Linked DNA regions of Danio rerio. The protein of the gene in region 3 interacts with the protein of the main gene of each other region in a pairwise test. Links are inferred from orthologs where the notes say so. Each region holds a gene or a part of one and is shown on either strand. Other genes may lie near its edges. The genes, in order: trim2a, tacc3, cib3 and enox2.

Region 1 (3,568 bases), on a different chromosome or scaffold from region 3:
GCTACACTTTATTTATTTATTTATTTTTAATCGGCCACATAGTTAATTTACTTTACTCAATATATTTTTAGGGCATCGGGCTTTACTATTATTTGAAGTCAACTAATTGATTTTTCGGCATTTCCAAATAAAAAAAAATAAAAAAAATTTTTTTTTTGGTGGACACAGCGCAATATATCATGACATTTGATTAAAATATTAACAAATTGGCAATATACTTCAGAACAGACATTTTACCTTTACAGAATGATTGTGGAAATCGGTCACAATGACTTCATTATTCTGATTCACTGCTGCAAAGTGAGGACCTATAAAAAGGAAAGAAATAAGTGTTAGCTTGCCCTTTTATGTGCTTCCAGAAATTACTTTGTCATAATTACAACTTTGACCCTGTTTCTGCCTGGTATTACCATGCATTGTAAGTGACAATCACAAGCAGTTATTCTTATCACGCATTACCATTTCTAGCTGATATTAACATCAGTTTAAATGCATTTTTAGTGACCTTAACTTCAAAACACTCTACACCAATTTTGCAGGAGGGCTCATTGTGATGTTGTGGCATTCCAAATTCATAACACGTCTTTGATTCAACCACGTGACCAAAATTAAATCAAATAACCAAAATCAAATCAAGAAAGCAATCTGATCAAATGTATTTACTCTGAAAGTGGTGTAAAGTGGACAAGCTCAAAAGTTGTAGACACCATTTTGTTTGTGTGCATATGTAACATACAGTATGTAAAATATACATCAAATACTTGTTTATATTAGTAAATATAAATGACTGTAATATTTTAATGTTAATAGAACACAGTATAGAAGTGTAAAAAACAAGTTAGTACAGCAAAATTTCTTTCCTACATCATATTTAATTATGACTGCTCAGATATAAAATCTTTTAACTTCTTATAATTTGGGAGACTATTCACTTATTTATTTATTTATGACAACTTGTACAAGAAGGCTGTATCCATTAAGTCCCCATATGTAATGAAAGCAAGCACCTGCAAATTGCTTGTCACTGTTGCCTCGGTTGCCAAACTTGGAGACCAGTTTTCCATTAGGCTGGAAAATGAAGACGCAACAAGATTTATTGTCTACCACAATGATGTGGCCATTTCTGTCAACCGATACACCCTTAGGACCCATGAGCTTCCCTGAGCCAATTTTACTCTAGAAAAAAGGCACAAAAGAAAAAAAAATCAATATGTTACATGCTTTAAAGAGATAGTTCACCCAAAATTGAAAAATTCTGTCATCATTTACTCCCACTTCACTTGTAACAAAAGTGTTTGAGTTTCTTTTCTCTACAAAAAATTATATGTATATATTTTTTTTAATTGTTAGAAACCATTGACTTCCATCGTATTTGTGTTTCTCCTGCTATGGAAGTCAATGATTTCTAACATTCTTCAAAATATCTTGAAGTTTTCCTGTGTTTAACAGGAAAAATAAATGGATAGAGATTTAGAACCACAAGAGAGTAAGTAAATAAGAGTACATTTTCATTTTGGGTTAACTATTAGTTTACGGACAACATTTTTATGTGTATTAAAAACAATTCCAAAAGTAACTGATATTATCAAGTATCTGGTAACAACAAATGAATCTGAATTTAAAAACAATATCACATAAATTGTTACAACTTTTAAAATAAAACTTAAGCAGATGCGTATACTGTACCTTGAACTTGCCATCACTGGAAAAAATGCTGACCCATTTGTTGTCATAGTCAGCAATGATGATGTCACCACTGGGGTGCACAGCAACACCAGTAGGCCGTTGAAGCTGTCCCGGTGATCGGCCTCTGATTCCGAAACGACTCTTAAACTGGCCATCATTTGAAAATATCTGCAAGAACACAATTTACATTCAACACTAAATGAATCATTTCTTCTATGACAAATGTCAGTAATTTGAACAGGCATTAAGCAACCCACAGAAAACAAGCAAAAAAAAAAAAAAAAGATTTTTAAAGTGTGGAATTTATACCTGAACACACTGATTGTTACTATCCGCTATTAAGACTTTGCCAACAGAAGAAGCAGCAACTCCCTGGAGATTGGTAAATTCACCCTTATTTCTGCCTTTTGTTCCTTTGGGACAAAATATTTTTTATTAACATAAGCATTAAATGCAAATTAAATGCAAAACATTCCCCACTGAGGTTTCAAATGATTAGAAACAAAACAAATATATTCAGCCCAAATTTTCAGCATTCATGCAATCTTGGACCAAGTGTTTTGGTGCAGATCTGAGAGTAATTGCCATGTACATGTATTACCAAAGAAAGTGAGCTAAGGGAGAAAAGTAGTTGATTTTCTGACTCAATTATGAAAGAATCTTAAATATGAGGTGTAAACCAGGCCTTCAAGATGTACACTCCTGATCAAATTATTAAGACCAATAGACCAGTTTAACACAATAATAAGTGAAGTTTTGCAAACTAATTTCTAGAGGTGCATGTCATGGGATTGACTGCAGCTGGTCCCTATCGCTAATCATTAGCTAGCCAATCGGATCATTCCACATTCGTTTTGGAAGACACACACACTTTTTAAGCAGCACACACACTCACCCCACTTAGTTTGAACTTCTATCATGGTACTCCCCTTCACGTGACTGCCGTTCCTCTGACTCTGGTCTTTTAACAGTCCACTCCACTCGTCTGCACTCTATGGGTGACCGGGCTTTCTCATCCCTGGCTCTGAGTCTCTGGAACTCTCTCCCTTATAACATTAGACTAGCTGAATCTTTTAAATTGTTTAAATCATCCTTGAAAACTCACTACTTTACACTCGCCTATTCATGAGGAGTGCATTCCTGGTTTGTTTTATGTTTTAAAATATTTTAATGTTTTATCATTCTGAATGTTTTATCTTAAATAATGCAATTTTACTGTTATTCTAAACTGTTTTATATTTGTATGTTTTTGTGTAAAATGCTTTTGAAAATTATTATCATAAAATGTCTGTCAGTTCGAGACCATGAATGCCTTTCGGGAAGCAATCTACACCACATGGAATTAATGTTCCCAACTGCCTCCAGGAAACTGTTGAATAAAGCATGCCAAAATGAATGTTAAAGTGATAATGACATTGCCTGCTCTGTTTTTTTGTCATGTGCTTCAAGCTCTTCTTTTGGCATTACAACCTGTTGTGATCCACCAGAAACAAAATGTGAATACTTGTCATTTTCCACCTGGTCTTAAGACTTTGAACTAGAGTATACAGTAGGTATAGTTCACCCCAAAATGATCATATTTGTTGTTTACTCCTCTATTTGATCCAAAGCAGTTTGACATATATTTTTAAGAATAATCAGAAGATTTTTTTTTGAAGAAATTTGGAAACCTGTAACCATTATTGTCCATAGTTTTGTTTTTCCTGTTATGGAAGTCAGTTGTAACAGGTTTGCAGCTTTCTTCAAGATAGATTTAATGTTCAACAGAAGAAACTCAAAGTTTGGAACCACTTAAATATGCGTAAATTCAAAAGGCTGAGTGAAATATCCCTTTAATGGCCCATATGGATAATATGGTTCAGTACACTTTTATGGCTGTTTC
Region 2 (4,336 bases), on a different chromosome or scaffold from region 3:
TTCTGCCTCTGTCTCTACCTCTACCTGGGGTGCAGAAACAGGGGCTATGGTTGTGTTAGACTCTACAAGCTCTGATGTTGCCGCCTCCGTAAAAGCAGAAGATTTAGGTGGGGAATTCGCCATTTTATTGGAGCCCTGGAAAGGGTTGATGGCATCAATATTGTCAAGATCAAAGGAATAGGCCCCTCTGCTCTGAACAGGCATGTCATCATCAGGTAAAGCAACACTGTTACATTCTATGTCAATTGGTGTGGTGTGAGTGTTATTCATCAATGAACTCCTGAAAAACACAAAAGGAGGTTTTACACGTTAGCATATTTGTCCATTAAAAACAGGTTAAGAGGCTTACATAAAAATATTTTAAAAATTAATCTTTAACCTAGTTTTCTTATGAATACCTTGTACTATTAGAGTGGTACATTAAAGTTGACAAAATATTGTTTTAGCACTGAAATATTGTTTTGCAATGTGGGCATCAACAATAGTCAAGAAGAAAAAGTAATGTCAAATAGGAATCCTATTTGAGCATGCACCACAGGTCAAACATGATATGTGGATTCAATTATAAAGTTGAATCATTATATTGTGAAAGATTTGAAAGAAATATGTCCTTTCACCGTGAATACATCCCAAGCAAGTTTACAGCTTTCAGACAAAATTTTTGAAAACCCATGTTAATATTATTTGGAAACAGGATCATTATGTTTTACCCATCATTTTACACCAGAAGTCTCTGGGTCTGTTCGAAGAAGTGCCTTTGGTGGAAATTAATATAAATAAAAGGTACACCAAATACACAAATGGTCATCAACAGTCCTGAACAATTGGAGATGCAGGTAATTTACTCACTGGTCAGAAAGGCCTGTGAGAGTCTCTAGTGCATTTTTGTGATCATCCTGGCTGATCGGCCTACTGGTGCGGCTTGGAGACATGATCTTCTTTGTCACTGGATCTCGCCGTGGGGTTTGAAAACAAACCTATATAAGAGAAATTAAGTAACGTGCAGGTTAGTCTAAGCTGTAGTACAAGGCCAAGAAAGGGTTCAATTATTACATGCAAAATAAAATTTATAATAGTACAAATAAATACTGCATTTGTGAATATTAAAGAATCCAAAATAAAATGTAGCATGGCTTCAACAAAATCGACCTGCCATTCATAAGTGTTTTTGTTTCTTGAAAAGTCACTCAGATGTGCTCATATGACACTAAAGAAAGTGTCTATAGAAAAGGTAAATTTACAGTCAAAGGAACAAGTTACTTTTTAAAATGGAAAACACTTGGTTTATAACCAGTGATTTTATTACACATTATACAGTACAGAAAAAATACTGCATGGAAATTTGTCAAGCCCACCTTTGCTGCTCTAGGAGCAGTCCTGTTAATGTTGTCAGCCTGCGACTGCCGCAAAATCGAGGGTCTGCCAGTCGGCTGATCCAACATGAAAATGTCACAAGCGAATTCAGAATTGCTGTTCATCCGTACAGCTCCCTGATTCTCCTTCAGCGCGTCAGAACTCATACTGTAAAACAGAGACACAGAAAATGACAACATGGGTTTTGGAAAGTCACGCCCAGCAGGCACCATAAACAGCTGCTTTTGCTGATAAGACCCGGAGGCGGGCATCTGACCCAACACCCAGAGACCCTAGTCCTGAGACACTTCAAATCTGTTGCATCTCCTTTCAGACTAACCCACTGTGACTAATAACCCAAACCAGTGACAATTTAGCCTTGTGCTGAGGGAACAAAGTGCTTCTTTTTAGTGAAAAAAAAAAGAAAAGAAAAAAAAAAAAATATATATATATATATATATATATATATATATATATATATATATATATATATATATATATATATATATATATATATATATATCATGATCAAACACTATGCCAATCCCCTGATACTGTGATTTTTTTGTGAGAATAAGTAGGAACAAGGAAGAGATTGACAAACAAAATCAAAAAACAAAATCATTACCACTTCTGGCCTTATCTGTTCTTGCCTGGATTCTGCTCAACTATGTAGGCCTGACAATATGATTGTCAGCTTTGTATTTGACAGGTACTTCTGACAGCTTCTCTCTCCTACAGCTTACCTGGACAGGTGATAAACAGCTCACTATCATAAATCAAATGATCACATTTTAACCTGAACAAAAGTGAGATATCAGATCAATCCCTCACTTCAGTGGAAAAATATAAATAAACCACATAACGTTTAGCACAGCCAGAGAATTGAGTGCAAGACAGAATTTAGCCTAACAGCTCACATACCCACGTGGATGACAAAACAACATTGAATACATGAATGAATAAATAAATATAGAATTTGTTATTTATTTAAAAAAAAGTTTTTAATGCAAATAAATTAACGTTATCTCCAACAGTGCTCAAAATCAATAAGTTACACGTAACGTCATACTTAATGTTAATTCTACATTTTTATGCCCTTTCCATACGAACTTTAGAAATTTAACTATAACAGAAAAAAAATCTCTAACGTTACATAAAGGATAGCTAACAATCACTTATCGCAATCTTAAAATAACAGGATTAAGTTAACGTTACATCAGAATGTTCGACGTTCTGGCAACACTCACGTAGCAAAAAAGTCAAAGCGATTAAGTTACCTTTATGGTTTCATATCGCGCATTAATAACTTACAATCCTATAAACGTGGCTCGGGGGCGGTTTTCTAAAATACGTACCTTATTCAAACTGCTCAAATCTAATAAAAACCGTTTTCTTCGCAGAGACAGTCAGCTCGACACACAGCATAGAGATGTTGTTGTTGCATTTATAACTTTCCCCGTTTGAAACGGTTCAAATTTAAACGGCGCACTCTCAGCCAATTAAATGCAAGAATCAACTCTCGTCAGGCGGGGCGATTATACGAATCGACCAATAGCATCGCACGTCAATCTGCGCTTTTGTACAGGATATACATTTGACAGACATCCAAACCAGCCAATAGGGTAAGCCGTTGACGCAGACGGTTTATGAAGATAAATAACCTCATTTAACCCTTTTACTTGTTGAAAACAAGTGTAGATTTGACAGTGTAAACTACTGCTGTTGTTGTAGCTTAGATATTAGATATAACTGTTTTGTTTTCGTTTACAGTGTTTCGCTGTACTGAAGATGATACTTTAGTTTTGAGTTGTCTTGAAAATGGAAAGTTATCAGGGAAGAGTGATGTTTTGAACCACAATGTACTTTCACTGTATGTTTTCTCCATACAATGAACGTGACGACAAGCTTTGCAACAGGGTATGTATTAAATATGAATTTCGTTTCATATTGCAATAACAGTGCATGTTATGGACATAATTGTCTTTTATAATTTTAGTTTTTGATAATATATTTGCTGTTAATCAACGCATACATTAAATCATTTTGTTGTTGATGCATTTTTTTAAGCTTTAATAATAACTATTTTTTATTATTACCATCAGACATGGCAATACATGCATGTGATATACTTGTCATTTAAATGACAATGTACTTGTTGTTTTGAATTTAAAAAAATGTATTGTAAAGAAATTGTTTGTATAGATTTCAATTACAATGCATATTTATTTCAATATATTTTTGTCATGCAAAAATCACTTCAGCATCATTTACGGACGCAAGTTTTTACAGTTTTATTAGTTTCTAAGCTAATACATACAGAAAATAATAATATTAATATAAAGGTAAAAGATTGCAGAGGCACATGCTTATGCATAATTAGTTTGATCACAAATACTCCATTTTCTTCTACAAAAAGTGATTTTTTTAGAATTAAGTGGTGATTTTAAAAAAGAATCCTCAAAATTTCTTTCACAAGGTAAAAACCATTTACCATGAATTTGGTAAAACGCCTTGAAATATATATGTTTATTGCTGTTTTTGTGCATTATTATGAACATAATTATCTTTTTAAAAAGTATAGTGGGTACAATAACTTTTTTTTATGATTTACCTAGCTTTAATTACCCATTTTTTTAATCATTACCAGCAGTCATGGCAAGCAAAAGCATACATTTGATGTACCTGTCAATTTTGAGAAATTTTTAAATTTAAACGTAAAAAAAACACGTTTAAAAGTTTATAGTGTTTCCATAGATTTCAATTACAATACAAATTTTTCTCAGAATGATTTTTAATCACTTTTGGACTCCAGATTTATACAGATTTGTTCTTATCGATATTAATAAATATAGAAAGTAATAAAATTCATATATAGATAAAATGTTTACAGAGGTTTATACCCAATTTGTTGATTTTTATTCTGAATTTTCCGAATCAAGCAGTGATTTAATTCCCTTCTGTTAAAACCTTTTACTCTAAA
Region 3 (4,226 bases):
CGGTAAATCAACTCAGAGTTCAAGTTTAAACTCAGAGTTGTTTGAACCTCCTTACTGAAACAGGCCCCAGTTCGTTTTAATGTTTATATTGCCCTCTTGCTTCCCTTTATCCCTTCCCTTTTCTCTCATGCGATTGTTATATATTTAATTCATAATACCCATATTGTTTAAAAATGAACTATAGTTTGTAGAGACTGTTTTCTGTTTTATTTGTACTGTAAGTCTTTTGTTCTAAAAAAAAATGATGATGACGCCATGCGATCGTTCATCATGACTGCAGCAACTTTGAAGTGTCCGGCTGTCTGGCTTGACAGCTCCGTTTTCAACTCCGCCCCCGCTCGGCTAATCTCGCAGATCACTGGCTGCAGCCGTGCTTCATGTCGAACGCACCTATTAACCGTATTTGATCCGAACCATGAGATTTGTAATCCGTTATATCACTAATTATAAAATATATTAATGTAGAAAATTACTATTATATTACTATTTAAAAAACATTTCCATTTTTTTCCCACGGTATTTACATTTTTTTTTACAGTGCACTAATAGGGTATATGCCGAAGCATGCTAATAGGACTTTTAATTTGCCAGTAACCTGGGTAAATCGCTTCCAGTCAACTCGACGCCAATACAAAAATCTGCACATTTAAGGTCAGTTTTCTTTAAAAATCAGCGATCTCCTCTGGCTGAGTGATATCTGATATAAAGTGGTTCTCAGATTGTACAAGAAGCGCTGCATTAAATTACATTTTCCCCGCCATGTCTTTATAATATGAGCATTTGTTTTACCCTAGTATATTCAATGGAGCTTCAGCGCTAACCTGCTGATTCTGACTGGCGTGTGCGAGCAAACGGCTTTTTGTCTCGTTTTACGCTTGAGCAACTAAATAAATGTCAAAGTTTATTTAACTGAATGTATTTTAATGACATTACAACATTGATGCTGTAAAAGGAACCGTATAAAACGGAAAAACAAATGCACAATAACAGGTCACCGGAAGTTTATCAGTATGGGAAAAACACTAGCATTTCTTACAGTAGCCTATAATGCAGCATAAGAGACTGTTTTACACAATAAGAGCCTCTTTTACATTATACAAACCTCTTTTACATTAAAAACAAACTTAAAAACAATATCCAAATATAATAATAAATACAGTTAAAGTCAAATTTATTCGCCCTTCTGTGAATTTTATTTTCATTTTTTAAATATTTCCCACGTTAAACAGAGCAAGAAAGTTTTCAGTGTTTCCTACAATATTTTTTCTTCTAGAGAAAATCTTATTTGTTTTATTTTGGTTAGAATAAAAGCAGTTTTTAATTGTTTTAAACCCATATTAAGGTCAATATTATTAGCCCCCTTAAGCAATATTATACAATGTTAACCACTGTTATACAATGACTTGCCTAATTACCCTGATTAACCTAGTTAAGAGTTTAAATGTCACTTTAAGCTGAATACTAGCATCTTGAGAAATATCTAGTCAAACAATATGTGCAAAGATAAAAGAAATCAGTTATTAAAAATGAGTTATTAAAGCTAGTATGATTAGAAATGTGTTAAAATCTCTTCATTAAACTGAAATTGGGAAAAAATAATATTCAGGAGGCCTAATAATACTTCAACTGTATATATATATATATATATATATATATATATATATATATATATATATATATATATATATATATATATATATATATATATATTTATAAAACCCTGACAAGACTTACCTGATATGCGTCCAGCTGCTGGGATGTGAAGATGGTCTGCTTGTTCCCCATTCTCGCAGTGCCATGGCAGACTGTGCACTGCAGCCGAATGCCTGCAGATATTTCAGATATGAAAAACTGGCACAAAAGGCTGCAGTGAGACATGGAGGATCAGGTGTCGGCCGCTGCGAGGCCTTTAGTTCTCCAATAATGGCAGCATTTCATCATTTAGCCGGCGTGAATGCGGCCCGTCGGTCAAGGGGAGTGCAAGTGGAGAGCAGGGGAGACGAGCGTCATGTTACACTGCAAATATACACTGTACAATAATATTCAGCGCTCATATACACAATGAGAGAATCAGACCAACAGAGCATCTGTGCTTGTTCATGACTGTAAGTGCTAACCATAATTATTTGAAGATCGATCCTCGATATTATCTTGACCGTTAAACCTTGCTTGTAATATCTACAGACACAAAAAATAAAAAATGTTCTGTTAAATTTAGTTTTTGTTTCTTTGTTTGCATTTTGCAGGCTAAACTACCATTCAAATGTCTGGTTTTAGTACATTTTTTAAATGTAAGAAATTAATACTTTTATTTAGCAAGCTTGCATTAAATTAATCAATAGTGAAAGTTAAAAAAGTTTGTTCTAAATATAAAATAAAGATTGAAAACATCGTCAATCAATAAAACAAACAAATTATATCTTTATATAGAACGCAGCAGCACGAGTGGTCTTTAATGAACCTAAACGAGCACATGTCACTCCGCTACTCATTCGTTTGCACTGGCTGCCAGTTGCTGATTGCATCAAATTCAAAGCACTAATGTTTGCTTACAAAGCGATTTCTGGCTGCGCCCCTTCTTATCTGCTCTCACTTCTGCAGATCTATGTGCCCTCCAGAAACTTACGTTCTGTGAATGAAGAGTATAAAGAGGGAACAAATCACTTTCCCGAACGCTCGCGCTCAATCTGCCCAGTTGGTGGAAGGAACTCCCTAACTGTATCAGAACGACAATTACTCCCTGTCTTCAAAAAGCGACTAAAAACTCAACTATTTAGTCTCTACTTTCCTTAGTAATATGCAACTACCTCTCAGACTCCTCCACTAACCACAAAAAAAAAAAAAAAAAAAATTACTAATGCTTTCCTTAGACTTTACAGACCTGAAACTTGCCTAGAGCACTTATTCATTGTTGCTCTTATAATTGTGTAAATTGCTTCCTTGTCCTCATTTGTAAGTCGCTTTGGATAAAAGCGTCGGCTAAATGACTAAATGTAAATGTAAATATATATATATATATATATACACACACATACACACACACACACACATTTATACAACAGTTCTGTCTGGTTCTTAAATCTTATTGGCTGATAGCCATGCCATGTTCTGCAATAACAGCATTTGTACAGCCTTCTCACTCTTCCGTATTACTCCGAGTGGCGTAGCGGACGGACCTGCAGGGCACGCACCACGGGGGGGCCCCGCGTGATTAGGGGGCCCCACGTCGTCGCGATTTTCAAAAATTTAAATTCCAGGAACCGCAATAATCAAACTCTTGGGAACAACTGTGGTCGGAACCAAAGTTCACAGGTCTGTGTTCTCTGAACTCCTCTCAAGCGGTGGACTACTTCATTCTGATTGCTTGCCGCCGAACTGCATCATAGCCAATGAAGACGGTTCTCATTAAAAAATGAATGACTTCTGGCTACTTTGACGCTCTCGCCGCTTTCGGTTTGTGATCGCTCCTCAGTTTGTGAAGGATTCCCCGTGTTGTCCCTCCACCCCGCCTCCTTTCCCCGCTTCTCAATTTGTGACATAGATATATACACTAGATATCGCATAGGGACCCTGAGCATGTGTTTATAGCGCTTTCACATTGGTACAGTGCTCCCAGGACAAATGTCATTCAACCGCACTAGTCAAGACAGTGTTATTACGTGAAGATGCGGGACTTTAGCGCTGTCTATGGGTGTAGTAATGAGCAAACAAAGAAAACAAAGCACAAAGGCAGAACATTTCATTGGTAAGATTAAGTTTTTTTTAACGTTTTTGCTAAACAGGTAGTGTTATTGATGATGATACAGTCACTTAGGGTTGGCTGACGTGAAACTGATGTTTCGACACAGTGTCGAGATCTCGAAGCGCAAGTGTTTCGAATCACTGCACCGAAGCATGATCCGAAGCACCCAAGTCACGTGACTAAAGTGTTTCGAAACACCTAGTTACGTGACTAAAGCGATTCAAAGCATCGATCAGCTTAGAAACGTTTCGAGACCTGGCGAATCCTAATTTGACTGCCAAGGTCTCCAAATTATCTCTGTCTCATATGGCTTAGAGCTCTGTGGGTTTGCTAATTGATTCTATGCTTAGCATGATGTTTTGGGTTCGAATCCCGACTTGTACAAATACTCTGAAATCATGGTTTTATGTATTTTAATCATGTTTCTGTTTTGTGTAGCCTAAATAGGATACAGCTACAGTTACGCCATCAATTTAGCATCATT
Region 4 (3,568 bases), on a different chromosome or scaffold from region 3:
ACCTTAAAATGGATTTAAAAAAATTTAAAACTGCTTTTATTCTAGCCAAAATACAACAAATAAGACTTTCTCCAGAAGAAAAAAATATTATCAGACATACTGTGAAAATTTCCTTGCTTTGTTAAACATCATTCAAGAAATATAAAAAAACAAAAATATATAAATAAAAAGGGGGCTAATAATTCTGACTTCAACCGTACATGCAACATCTTAGCTTCACTTTTCTATAGCAGAATTCGGAGACACACATATTTTTTTTTCTTGCGTGATTTTTACCTTGCTTGCTCAAACACACACTGAAGTTCAAGACTACCCACTACTACCCAGCAGACAGTCTACTAATACTCAAACAGACCATCAAAATGAAGGGCCCTATCATACACCTGGCGCAAGGTATGACACAAATGTTGTTTGATAGTCTCAGCTTGATGCAAGTGTAATTTTGACGTGTTGCACCATGCTGTTTAAATATTAAATGTATTTGCACTCATTTGAGCGCCCATAGGCGTTCTGGTCTAAAAATTGAGGTGTGTTAAGGTGCATTACTGGCGGGTTGCTATTTTGAGGATCTGAAATAGACTGCTTAATAGACTCAAATGCTCTTTGGTGTGACGCAACTGACTCTTAAAGGGAATGGGAGATGAGACTCTGATTGGTTTATTATCAAAACACACCTATAAGTCATTAAAAGAATAAGCTCAACCCTGTTAGACCATGTGCCATGGCACAAAGCAGGTTTTTCCATCCTTTAAATAGCAAACGTGGATTCGGACACGCTCTTAATGCTTTGAACTTTGCGCCAAGATCGTTAAAATAGAGTAATGTTAGCGATAATTTAATTTAGAATTTATAATTATTATTTTTGTATTACTTCCAAATTGCTTTAAATACACATGTACAATCCTGTCCTGCTCACACCACTTGCTGAGGAAAGCTTTCAGTCATATCAAGTATAAACAAAATCAACCTTCTGTTCCATGTTAAATAGTGTTTTTATGTTGCTACCAATAGAAATTAAGCCGCTAATTATACACCAGATTGGGCCATTATAAACAAGAAAAATTGTGGATTGTTTTAATGAATTGGCTTATAATGGCTTATAATGACCATTTTAAGCTTTTTGTTTAAATAATTATGTTCCTTTTATTCCTTTTATATTAGTTTTTGCAGCACCAATGAGATTGTGGAGAAATTCATATTTCTATTGTTTCTACCAGGGATAAAAAAAAAAACAAACAAAACAAACTGTTACCTGCCAGTTGTGAACCGCTGAAATCTCAGGCAGACTCGGAACAGATTTTACTAGTAGAGAAAGCTGAGCATTTAGACTATCATACCATAAACATTTTCTAAAAATAAAGAGGACTTCAAAATACTTCAAGTACACATGGGAAGCTTGCAGGGAAAGGGAAATGGGCAGAGGAAATGGAAAAGACTAATCTCTAACAGAAACATTCTACATAATTAATTTCAAAAGATGTGAAGCATGACCACATTCACTTAAAGAAATGAAAACACCAACCTCTGCTTGCTTTCGCCACATGTCCAGGTTCTTGCGCTGGGCTTTGGAGAAATGGTCCCATGCCTTTTGTTTGGAAGAAGCGTGGAATACAGACACAATCTGCTCAACTGTGGCAGGGGATGCAGGGGCCAGTATGGGCGTCCAAAGAAAGAAAGAGAGAGAGGGGCGATTGGGAAGGTGCAGAGGAGTGAAAAAATCTGTGTCAGGTTGGAAGGAAGTGATGTTCTTTCCCCCCTACCCCCCCTCTAAACAGCACAAACACTGAGCTGGGGTGAGTGGTGTACTGTAGCTGGACGAGATCTGCATTAGATCACAATTATGGTAAAAAGGTCGTCCACTCAAAAATTAACCCTCATCTAGTTCCAACCATGAATTACCGCATGTCTTTGACTGCTGTGTATTTGTTTAACCAACACTAGGGGCCCAAATTTCATCTTTTGTTCTCTACAGATGATAATTTTCCAAGTTTGGAACAACATGAGGATTAGTTAATTATACCATTTTCAATTTAAGGTGAACTATTTGTCTCTGAACTGTTGGATGATTCTCCTTTTGCGGTCTTTGGAAGAAAGAAAATTTGTAATACTTTCTAAGAAGCCCATGTTCATAATTAATTGCAACTCTGTTTTAATTTATGGTAACACTTTATTTTTATGGCCCATTTGAGTATTAGTAACCTGTCTGCTTAATATATGTTGATTTTGTTGCTAAACAGATATTTAACTGACTATAAAAAACTTTGCAAGTACATGTCAACTTACAGTAACCATAACCCCAACCTAACAGTCTACTTATAATCTAATGAGAATTAGCTGGCATGGAGATGCAATGTAACTTAAATTCAGCAAACGGACCATCAAAACAAAGTATGACCTAATTTATTAATAATCAAGCATAACAATTCAAGAAATGTATCTACCAAAAAGACACAACCTATACCGATAAAACCTACTGTATGTCAATAATAGTTACAACTACATTTGTAAGTGCTGTTAATACATATTGACTTGCATTTCAATAATTGCATTGGTGTTGCATTTAAATTTTTCAAGTTCATAACACCGATCATGATTCATATGGACATTCATAAGGATTTTGTAAACATCTACTTGTAATATTACGTAAATGTCTTAATGTATGTCTACTTAACATCAATATTAAACAATTTGATGTTGAAAACATGTCTCATTTGTAATATTACTATTATAATAATATAATATCACTCTTAAAATATGTCAATTTTACATTTCTGTGTCAATTTAAACATAAGGTAATGTACTTTTCATAAAACCACACGTTAAAATATGTAAAAAAACGAATAATTATGATGCATGATTAGATAACATTTGCATTTGGAAAACTACATTTTATTTTCACTACTTAGAGCAGAGATGTCGAAGGCCCAAAGCTAGCCCATGGTAAGCTTTGATTTGGCCCACCATCTCATCTGAAAAGAGAATGATGGGGAGCATTTGGGAGAATCCATTTAACAAAGACTGTCATTATGAATTAAACGTGATCTTTTTGTCTTTTATAGTTTAATAGCAAACTGAAATTAAGCGTTTCAATAAAATGCTGTAAGTAAGTAAGTAAGTAATGTGTATTTATATAGCGTATTTATTGTGTATGGCCATACATCCAAAGCGCTTCGCTATAATGAGAGAGGGTCTCTCCACACCACCACCAGTGCACTGCATCCACTTAGTTGATGCTATGGCAGCCACAGGAAAACGGCACCAGTGGAATTCGGTGGATGGGAGTTATTGGGAGGCCATGATCTTAAGGGATGATGGAGGGAATTTGGGACACTGGAGTTACACCCCTACTTTTTGCGAGAAGTGCCAAGGGATTTTTAATGACCACAGAGAGTCAGGACCTCGGTTTAACATCTCATCCGAATGACTAAATAAATCTGATTTTTAATGTAAATACTGTCTCTTGACAAATACAGGACAAATACACATAACATTGTGAGCAAATCAATGCAAAAGCGTTACGTGTTGCTTTTTGCCATTAAACTCCAATATATATATATATATATATATA

What was found.
Region 1: the proteins of cib3 (region 3) and trim2a interact in binary tests that used the Homo sapiens proteins (3 or more experiments, as listed by UniProt). The two-hybrid records come from large-scale screens. The link is inferred for Danio rerio from reciprocal best matches to the Homo sapiens genes CIB3 and TRIM2.
Region 2: the proteins of cib3 (region 3) and tacc3 interact in binary tests that used the Homo sapiens proteins (3 or more experiments, as listed by UniProt). The two-hybrid records come from large-scale screens. The link is inferred for Danio rerio from reciprocal best matches to the Homo sapiens genes CIB3 and TACC3.
Region 4: the proteins of cib3 (region 3) and enox2 interact in binary tests that used the Homo sapiens proteins (3 or more experiments, as listed by UniProt). The two-hybrid records come from large-scale screens. The link is inferred for Danio rerio from reciprocal best matches to the Homo sapiens genes CIB3 and ENOX2.

The regions. Positions count from the first base shown.
Region 1 is NC_133176.1:26,945,775-26,949,342, forward strand, and holds part of trim2a (tripartite motif-containing protein 2), read right to left. Parts: intron 2,100-3,568; coding exon 1,996-2,099; intron 1,855-1,995; coding exon 1,687-1,854; intron 1,177-1,686; coding exon 1,008-1,176; intron 309-1,007; coding exon 238-308; intron 1-237. UniProt on the Homo sapiens protein: UBE2D1-dependent E3 ubiquitin-protein ligase that mediates the ubiquitination of NEFL and of phosphorylated BCL2L11. Plays a neuroprotective function. May play a role in neuronal rapid ischemic tolerance.
Region 2 is NC_133188.1:39,351,341-39,355,676, forward strand, and holds the start of tacc3 (transforming acidic coiled-coil-containing protein 3), read right to left. Parts: upstream 2,829-4,336; 5' UTR 2,712-2,828; intron 2,100-2,711; exon of another isoform or gene 1,982-2,099; intron 1,522-1,981; 5' UTR 1,521-1,521; coding exon 1,356-1,520; intron 978-1,355; coding exon 850-977; intron 281-849; coding exon 1-280. Other genes in the region: mfsd2aa (sodium-dependent lysophosphatidylcholine symporter 1-A), read left to right, coding at 3,214-3,273. UniProt on the Homo sapiens protein: Plays a role in the microtubule-dependent coupling of the nucleus and the centrosome. Involved in the processes that regulate centrosome-mediated interkinetic nuclear migration (INM) of neural progenitors.
Region 3 is NC_133177.1:58,532,983-58,537,208, reverse strand, and holds the start of cib3 (calcium and integrin-binding family member 3), read right to left. Parts: upstream 2,826-4,226; 5' UTR 1,879-2,825; coding exon 1,735-1,878; intron 1-1,734. UniProt on the Homo sapiens protein: Acts a an auxiliary subunit of the sensory mechanoelectrical transduction (MET) channel in hair cells. Plays a role in regulating hair cell MET channel localization and function.
Region 4 is NC_133189.1:27,720,613-27,724,180, reverse strand, and holds part of enox2 (ecto-NOX disulfide-thiol exchanger 2), read right to left. Parts: intron 1,630-3,568; coding exon 1,523-1,629; intron 1-1,522. UniProt on the Homo sapiens protein: May be involved in cell growth. Probably acts as a terminal oxidase of plasma electron transport from cytosolic NAD(P)H via hydroquinones to acceptors at the cell surface.